Linked DNA regions of Oryctolagus cuniculus. The protein of the gene in region 1 interacts with the protein of each later gene in a pairwise test. Links are inferred from orthologs where the notes say so. Each region holds a gene or a part of one and is shown in the gene's direction. Other genes may lie near its edges.

The links.
Region 2: the proteins of FBLIM1 (region 1) and CUTA interact in binary tests that used the Homo sapiens proteins (3 or more experiments, as listed by UniProt). The two-hybrid records come from large-scale screens. The link is inferred for Oryctolagus cuniculus from reciprocal best matches to the Homo sapiens genes FBLIM1 and CUTA.

The regions. Positions count from the first base shown.
Region 1 is NC_091438.1:153,868,736-153,873,276, reverse strand, and holds the start of FBLIM1 (filamin-binding LIM protein 1), read left to right. Parts: upstream 1-1,447; 5' UTR 1,448-1,589; intron 1,590-3,276; exon of another isoform or gene 3,277-3,372; intron 3,373-4,541. UniProt on the Homo sapiens protein: Serves as an anchoring site for cell-ECM adhesion proteins and filamin-containing actin filaments. Is implicated in cell shape modulation (spreading) and motility.
Region 2 is NC_091436.1:135,730,663-135,734,145, forward strand, and holds CUTA (protein CutA), read left to right. Parts: upstream 1-1,288; 5' UTR 1,289-1,334; coding exon 1,335-1,421; intron 1,422-1,661; coding exon 1,662-1,870; intron 1,871-1,992; coding exon 1,993-2,052; intron 2,053-2,169; coding exon 2,170-2,215; intron 2,216-2,325; coding exon 2,326-2,375; intron 2,376-2,523; coding exon 2,524-2,650; 3' UTR 2,651-2,738; downstream 2,739-3,483. Other genes in the region: PHF1 (PHD finger protein 1), read right to left, coding at 3,203-3,483. UniProt on the Homo sapiens protein: May form part of a complex of membrane proteins attached to acetylcholinesterase (AChE).

The DNA.
Region 1 (4,541 bases):
ACACACACACCCCAGCTCAGGAAACAGGTGCTGGGAGAACCTGCTGCGTGGGGGATTGGAGAGGGGCTGGGGGGCCCAGGGGTCTTCTGAGGCTGAGTGCGAGGGTAAACCCCTCCCCGCCTCTCGCCGCCATTGCCATCCCGCACAATGCAGCTGCACAGGCCGGGCTGGGTGGCTCTGCTCTGCCCCAGCCGCAGCAGAGCCTGCCCGGACGGGGGGGGGGGGGCAGCTGGGTGATGCTTCCTCTTGGGCGGGAGGGGGTGGGGGTGGTTCAGGGAGCCTCTGAGGAAAATGGCACAACCCCTGGAGAAGAGCACACTTCCGTCCCGCACGCCTCAGGCTGGTTCCTGCTCTCAGCTATAGCTGGAGGGTGTGGCAGAATGTTCTGGAAGTCAGGTGAGACTGTCCCCTCCCAACACTTCCAGGACACTGACTATAGGCCAGACCCTGACTGTACCTTTTCAATACCTATGACCCCACATTTCTGCAAAGGGAAGCAGACGCCTCCTGCTGGGGTTTGCATGCGTGCCCCAAAAGTCTCTAAGTTACATCCCAATTCATAGGTTCGATGGTGTTTGGAGATGAAGAGGATTAGATGAGGCCATGAGCAGGCCACCATGATGGCGCCTATGGCATTAAGGGGAGAGGAAGAGAGACCCGAGCGGGTGCACCTGCTGTCTCAGTACGTGTGCCTTCTACCGTGTGGGACGCAGCCGGGAGGCCCTCACCAGACGCCGGCTGGCACTGTGCTCCTGAGCTCCCCAGCTCCAGAACCAGGAGCCAAGTACACTTCTCTTCTTCTGAAATGAACTGGGCTCAGAGGTTTCCTTCTAAAGAGAGCAAGACGCCTCTCCGTGGGCAGCTCCGGCCCAGCTGCCCGTGTCACAGGCGAGGCAACAGCAGCAAGCGGAGGGAACTGAAGAGGCAAAACGGAAGCCCCAGTCTGACCTCAGAGCCCGTATCCCCGCAGCTTCCTCTGTGGCTCCCCAACCCTGCCGCTCGACGCGCCCTGTGCAGGGGCCTCTCTGAGCCGTAGCCCCCCAGCCCCTTCTCCATTCCGTCATAGCACTGTCATCACTAACGACTGTCAATATGCACCCCTGCCTAGTTCTGTGGGGACGCTGCGTCTGACTTGGTTTCGGGGGCTCCTGCACTCACACCTGCCTTGCACATAGTAGGTACCCAACAAGTGGTGGAGTAGCCAAGTCCTCCAAAGGGGACAGCAAACTCCCCGGCAGCCTGGTTGGCAGCAAGGCCCCCCCCCGGCCCCGGGGCGTGCCCCCACACCTCCCACCGCTGCCACCCTGGGTCTCAGCAGCCACAACCTGCAGAAAAGCTTGACCCCTTTCCCTTGGGGCCACCTGAGGCCGGGAGGGGCCTGGCAGGGACCGAGCGGGGAGCAGGGCCTCCGAGCCGCCAGACAAAGGGCGTGTGTTCTGGGCCAGCGCACTTCCTGGGTTTCCGTTGCAGGAAGTTTGGCACCTGCCTATCGGTGACACCGACACCCAGGCTGGTGCGGGGAGGTCTGGGCCAGGACGGTGCCTCCATCCGGGAGCAGCAGGAGACGCAGCCCGGGCGCTACATGGCAGGTGAGTGGTGCCAGAAAGACCCTCCCCCCTCGGGCCTTGCAGGCCACCCCAAGCTGGTCCGGAACACATGTGGGAAGGCCCGAGGTCCCAGGCTGCCTCAGGGTGACTTTGGACAAGGCTCGGGTGCCCTGTCATGCTGTCTGCCGGGGCAGCGGGGGGGGGGGGGGAGCTCGGGGACTGTCCCGGAGGTACAGGGGTGGGGGGTGGGGGGCAGCTCCTCCTCTATCGGGCTTGGCCCAGCCCTGAACAACGCTGCACAGTGTGTGGGGGGGGGACATCACCGCAAGCCGGGGACGACCCCGACCAGGGCAGGGGCACCTTGCTCACGGCCTCCCTGAGCCCTGGCTTCCGCACCTGGGAAGGGTGGTGTGTGGGGGTGGGGGTGCCCACCCTTGGGGCCCTCAGAGCAGTGTGCCCAGGGCACCCGCTCCTCTGGTTTGAACCCAGCTCTGCCACTTGGCTCTTGTGAGGCCTGAGCCTCCCCAGGTCCCCTCTTTCCCCCGCCCCGCCACATCCCCCTTTTGTGAAGTGGGCGTTACCAGTCGGGGTGCCTAAGGGGCACAGAGGAAGGTGTACAAGGCAGATTCTAAGCGCAGCCACTGTCACTGCTGTGGCTTCTGAGGTTGTGAGACTCAGATGGGCAGAGGGCTGGCGGAGGCAGGAGGGGCAAGGGTCGGGGGGGCCGAGATTTAGGGAAGGGGAGGAGGGGGACACAGAGCAGCCAGGCACCCCCCACCTCCGGATCCCCAGGACCCCCCCGGGGAGGTGGTGAGCTGCAGGACTGTAGGGAGAGCCAGGCCCTAACTGGCTGTCCCCCAGGTGGTGCTGGGCCCAGCCATTGTGGCTTTAATCAAAAGAACAATCTGTTTGCCTCTGAATCAGACCCAGATTCCCTTTCCCAGCAAAGTCCCTGAGCCTCCAGGGACCTGAGCAGCCCATCCCGGCCCCCGGGCTCAGGTTCTGTCCATCCCTACCCCACTTCCATCTGCCCCAGGTTGGGGTCCAGGACACAGAGGGATGGGGTCAGGACACAGTGCCCAGGGTGGCAAACCAAGTGACCTGGCTGTCAGTGGGCCCTGCCTACCAGAGCCTGTCCCCTCCCCCAGGGTGCTGGGGTGCACCTGCAGGGATCCAGACAGGCAGTGACCCCCCCCCACAGCAAATAGAGGTGACAGGCTGCCCCAGCTAGGCGGGCTCATAGTGTGCCTCATGAGGTCAACCCGTCCCATCGTCTGGGTCACCTAGAGGGGCAGGCTGTGGGCAGATCCATTTTACAGACCAAGAAGCTGAGGCCCAGGGTCCCGAGGCTTGGCGAGCAGCCATGGAACCCAGTTCAGACACTTCAGCCAAAGCCCAGGTGTTAGCACAGGCCTCCGTCGGACCGGGCAGGCGGGGCCGCGGACCCAGGTGACCCAGGGCAGGGGGAGTGGAAGGGCCACTGAGGGCCCACAAAGATGCCAGGGTGCGCAGCGGGGCTGGACGCCCACCCCAGGCCAGGGGCGAGGGGCAGGGGCGAGGGGCGGGGAGGAGTCTCCGAGGGAACAAAGGGAAGGGGAGGGGGCGGCGCGGGGCGCGGCCGGGCAGGTGGGGGGGCAGGTAGGGGCCGCTTCCGCGGGGCGGGCCCCGGGCCCCCTCCCCCGGCCTCACCTTTTATGGTCACGCGGCGCGGGGCGCGGGGCGGAGGGAACGAGGGGCGGGGAGGGGCGGGCGCGAGGCGCCGCGCTCTGGGCTCTGCGCGCTCGCTCCGGAGTCCGGCGGGGCCGCGGGGGCGCGGGCGGCCCAGGTAAGCGGGCGCGGGAGATGGTGGCGGGGGTCCCAGGCTGCTGTCCCCTTCCGGGCCACACGCAGGTGACAGAGCGGGTGGCCCCGGGCCAGAGTCCACCCCGCCCCCTGGCTGGGACCCCAGCCCCGGCGCCCCTGGAGGGGGCTCTCCGGGACGTGGGGGCCGCTGTCCTGGCGTCGCCGCCCGTCAGTCCCTTCCCCGGTCCCGGGGCCGGGGGAGGGCTCCGCCCGGTGGCGGGGGTCGTGTCCTTGCCCGGAGAGGGGGGAAGCTCCCGCACAAAGAGGCCCGCGTCCCGCACATGGACTGAATTAACTCCGCGGCAGCGCCCCGCGGTGACCCGGCCCGGCCTGCCCCGCTGCCTGCGGAGGCGCCGGGTTTCCCCAGCTCCGGGCCCCCCGGGGCCAGGGGCGGGCGGGGGCGGGGCGGGGTGGGGGGCAGCTCTGCAGGCCGGGGCGACGCCCTAGGTGTGTGCGGTGGCGCTCTTGGCCTTGCTCTTGCTGCAGCCCAGAGCGGAGGGCCCCTGTGAGAGGCTGGGGCAGCCCCCGGATTCCCGCTCCCTGCTCCCAGTCACTTTGGGAGCCCAGTCCTGGCCCCCAGGGGCGCCTGCTGTCCCTCTCGGGGTGAGGGCTACATAACCAGCTGTCCTGCACTCCCCTTCCCACACCAGCCACCCCCTGGCACTTTGTGCAGGAATCCGGGCCCAGAGAGGGTAGGTGCCCTGCTCTGGCCGCCCAGCAGGAAAGAGGTGGGTTCCCGGGTGAAGGTTGCTCTGTGCCTCCTCGGCTTCCCTGGGGTAGGAGGGAGTTGGGGGGAACCCCCACCCCAAGGCAGCCAGGTCTCTGTGGGAGGGCGTGGGTTGGGGTGCAGCCCCCAGCCGCTCACCTCCAGGGGGGTTTAATTGCAGACAGACTGCTTTGTCAAGGTATTAAAGTGCAGAACTTAGAGGTGCCGGGGCTCTTCTAGAGGGGGGCCAAGGAATGGGGAAGGAGGGGACAGTGGGGTGGGAGCACCTCCCCCTTCCTGGTCAGACACCCCCGGCCCTGGGTGCGGGCTGCAGCTGGCCGCCTGGTGCTCCGGTGCGGGCTGGGTCCCAGCCTCTTCCTTCCTCTCGACAGGAAGTGAGTCTCCCTCCCTTTGTTCCCACTTTCTCCGCTTACCCGACTGCATCT
Region 2 (3,483 bases), on another chromosome or scaffold:
TTGCAAGAGCCCAGAGACAGCAACCACTGCACCCTGAAACACAGAAACTCCCAAAACAAAGCCCAGAAAACTAAAGTCCCGAGAAAGAACCTAACAGAAACACTGAAAAGACCCCAGAGATCTCTGAGACAAACTCCAAATCCAAATCCAGAGATCTCTCAGAGATCTCCAAATCCACTCCACCCCCCAAATCCAGAGTGGTAAATATGAGAGGCCCCTGACAGGAGCCTGTGTCATCTGCAGGCACGCCCACCCCATCACTGACCCCACGCCCTGGAGGGCGGGGCGAGACTGGGCAGCAGCACTTCCGTCTGTGCCATCTCCTCCCATTTCTCTGGCCTCCCATTGGCCCCTCTCTCTCCATTTTTGGGTCACAGAATGTGCTTGGGCCCCAGGGAGGTTATGTAGGACAGGTCCTGGCTCCTTGGGGGATGGGGTAAGGAAAGGAGACCCAAGGTTCAGAGGGGTCCAATCCTGGACAGAATAGGCAGACTAGGGGACAAGAGGACCGTCACCACCATCCCCAACCTGCAGCCCTCGCGTCTCCCTTCCTCAGATTCTCCACTCTGTCTCAAGCTTTGAGTTTAAGTTAAGAGGGCTGAGGACTTTCATCATCCTCTATTCCATATACAGGGCTGTGCATCTTTCTTCCCTTGGCTGTTGTCCAGCCATGCCCATGCCCCCTGCCCGGGGACAGCTGGCTTCGCCTCACACCATCGCTGTCCATTCCCAAACTGAAGCATGTGTAAGCCCTAACTGAATGGATAGGGGGCGCTCTCTTCAGCCCCTGAGAGTCCGTCTTCTCAGACCCTCCCCCTGCCTAAGGCCGCTGAAACAGTGCAAGGCTGTTACTAGGGGCACTCTGGGGCTTGAGGATGACCCTCCGCCACCTGACGCATCGAACTGCGGGGGCTCCGCCCCCCTATCCGAGCGGCCCCTCTCTCGTCACATGGCCTGCGGGCTTGGCCTGCGATTGGTGCGTTCGCATCACTCTCTGAGGTGCTGCCGCCCAGGAGGCCCGGCCCCCTCACGTGACAGTGGAACGCCGCAGCGGCTCCTCTCAGCCAGCAACAGGCCCTTTCGGTTTACACGGAAATGGGCGGGCCATTTCCGCGCACGTCGGCAGATCCGGCTGTCGATTGGCCAAATCTCCCCTTGCTCCTCCCTCATCTAGAGGAGGGGTAACTCGGGCCAAATGAGGGCCGTGATTGGTTAGCGCTGAAGGCTAGGGAGGGTAGGCTTCAGTCACGTGATGTGCGCTAGTTCTTGTCACGTGGCTGCTACCCAGGTAAGGAGGCCGCTCTTCCTGGGTTTGGGGGTCCTTTCTCGGTGTTATGTGCGGTCTTTGTTACCAAGTCTCCTCTACCAGCGTAGGCTGCATGAGGGGGGGACGGGCTCCTGGAGTCCTGCTCGGCGGAGGGGTGAGTGACCGGCCCCGCCCCTTCCGGTCTTCGAAGTAGCCTCCGCGGTGGACCCGCTGAGGCGTGTGAAAACCGAGGCTTTGCTTTAATTTTCCAAGTTTCCCTCCCGGCTTTAGGGGCATTTTCCTTGAGTGCGGAAGGGGAGGGCAGAGCCTGAGCATCTATCCCAGCGAAGGCTCCCTGAAGTGCACTCTCCCGGGGGAATTGTGGGAAGAGACCAAATTCGCCCCCTGCTCTCAGGCTGCCCTGCTCCTGTCGCTCCTTTGGATGCCTACCCTGCTGCCCGTGGCCTCTCGCCTTCTGTTGCTACCCCGAGCCCTGCTGTCCATGGCCTCTGAAATCCCCCCGTCCCAGCCCCCGCCGGCCTCAGGCTCTGGCTATGTTCCAGGATCGGTCTCTGCGGCGTTTGTCACCTGCCCCAACGAGAAAGTCGCCAAGGAAATCGCCAGGTGGGGACTTCGGTGTGGAGCGAAGAAGGGTGGTCGTGATCGGGACTTGCTGGGCGGGGGGAGGAGGGGTTGTGTCTGTGGCCGGGCCGCCAGGGCAGAAATCCCGGTCTCTTCGCCTTCAGGGCTGTGGTGGAGAAGCGCCTGGCAGCCTGCGTGAACCTCATCCCTCAGATCACATCCATGTGAGTCACAGGACTTGTGGGTAACCGGAGCTCACGGGGCTGGCTGGGAATCTCTGTCCTGGGGGAAAAAGATTTGCTCCCCAAGACTTTCTACCTCTGTCTCTCTGACCTCTTCAGCTATGAGTGGAAAGGAAAGATCGAGGAGGACAGTGAGGTGCTGATGGTGAGAAACCTCCCCCCACCCAAGAGAACTGCCCAGCCCCTACCCCTCAGCTGAGGCCCTGCATTCAACCCCATCTCCCTCATCCAACCGTATTTCTCTTTGCCCCTTAGATGATTAAAACTCAAAGTTCCTTGGTCCCGGCTTTGACAGACTTTGTCCGGTGAGAACTTTTGAGATGGATGCGGTGGGGGTGTGTGCAGTGGGCGGGACTTGCTGAGCAGTCTAGGGTTTCTGCCCAAGCAGGGAGCCCCTTGGGGTAAGCGTGTCAGTCATTTCTCAGCCGCACCCACCCCCACCGGTTTTCGCAGTTCTGTGCACCCTTACGAAGTGGCAGAGGTGATTGCGCTGCCTGTGGAGCAGGGGAACTCCCCGTACCTGCAGTGGGTGCGGCAGGTCACAGAACGGGGCCCCGACTCGAGCACAGCCCTACCGTGACCTGCCTGCCCGGTCGCCGCCTACGCTGCAGGGCCCTCGCTCCCCGGGATGGCTGAGCCCGCAATAAATCCAGTCTGGTTCTCTCTGCCTTTTGCCTGTTTTCCTTGTACATATGCACATTCGGTTGGGGAAGAAGAGGGAGTGCTCTGGTCCTCGTGTTCCTCCATCTTTCAGAATGACGCAGGGCTGCTAGGTTTGTTTTTTTCCTCTTTATTTCAACCATACAGAGTCCAGGATCTCTTATCTTCCCCCCCCTCTTCCTCAGTCTCTGCACCCAGGGGTTAAATAATTTTTAAAAATATTTAAAAAGCAGTAACAAAAAAAAAAAAGAAAAGGAAATGGTAAGATGGGGGTGGGGGAGTGGTGAGGAATCCTGGAGGGGGCAGAGAAGAGCGAGCCTCTTCCCCACACCCCACCATGGATTCCAGCCTGGGCAGGAGGGAGAACTATCCCCTGTCTCTCCAGGTACATCCCAGCTGTAGGTGAGGTGAGAGGTCAGGGTATGAAAGTGCCGGTGTGTGTGAGCAGGGAGGCGGGCAGCCGCGGGGCTGTTCAGAAGATGCCCCCTCCTCCCCACTCAACCAGGTACTGCACAGAGCCATCAGGCCGTACTCTCCGAGCAAGGACCCGGACAGGGTCCCCTCGGGACAGGTAGCCAACCCCACCCCGCACTCCTCCCCCAGTCCCAGGAGACAAGCTACGGCACAGGGGAGAAGGAGGTGCTGAGCGTCTAGGAAGCCCTGGGGAGGGGGCTGGGGTGGAGGAAGATGAGGCAGTCATCGAGTGGGGGGCACTTTTAGGGATGTCTGTGGGGAAGCCAATGTGAAGTTCCA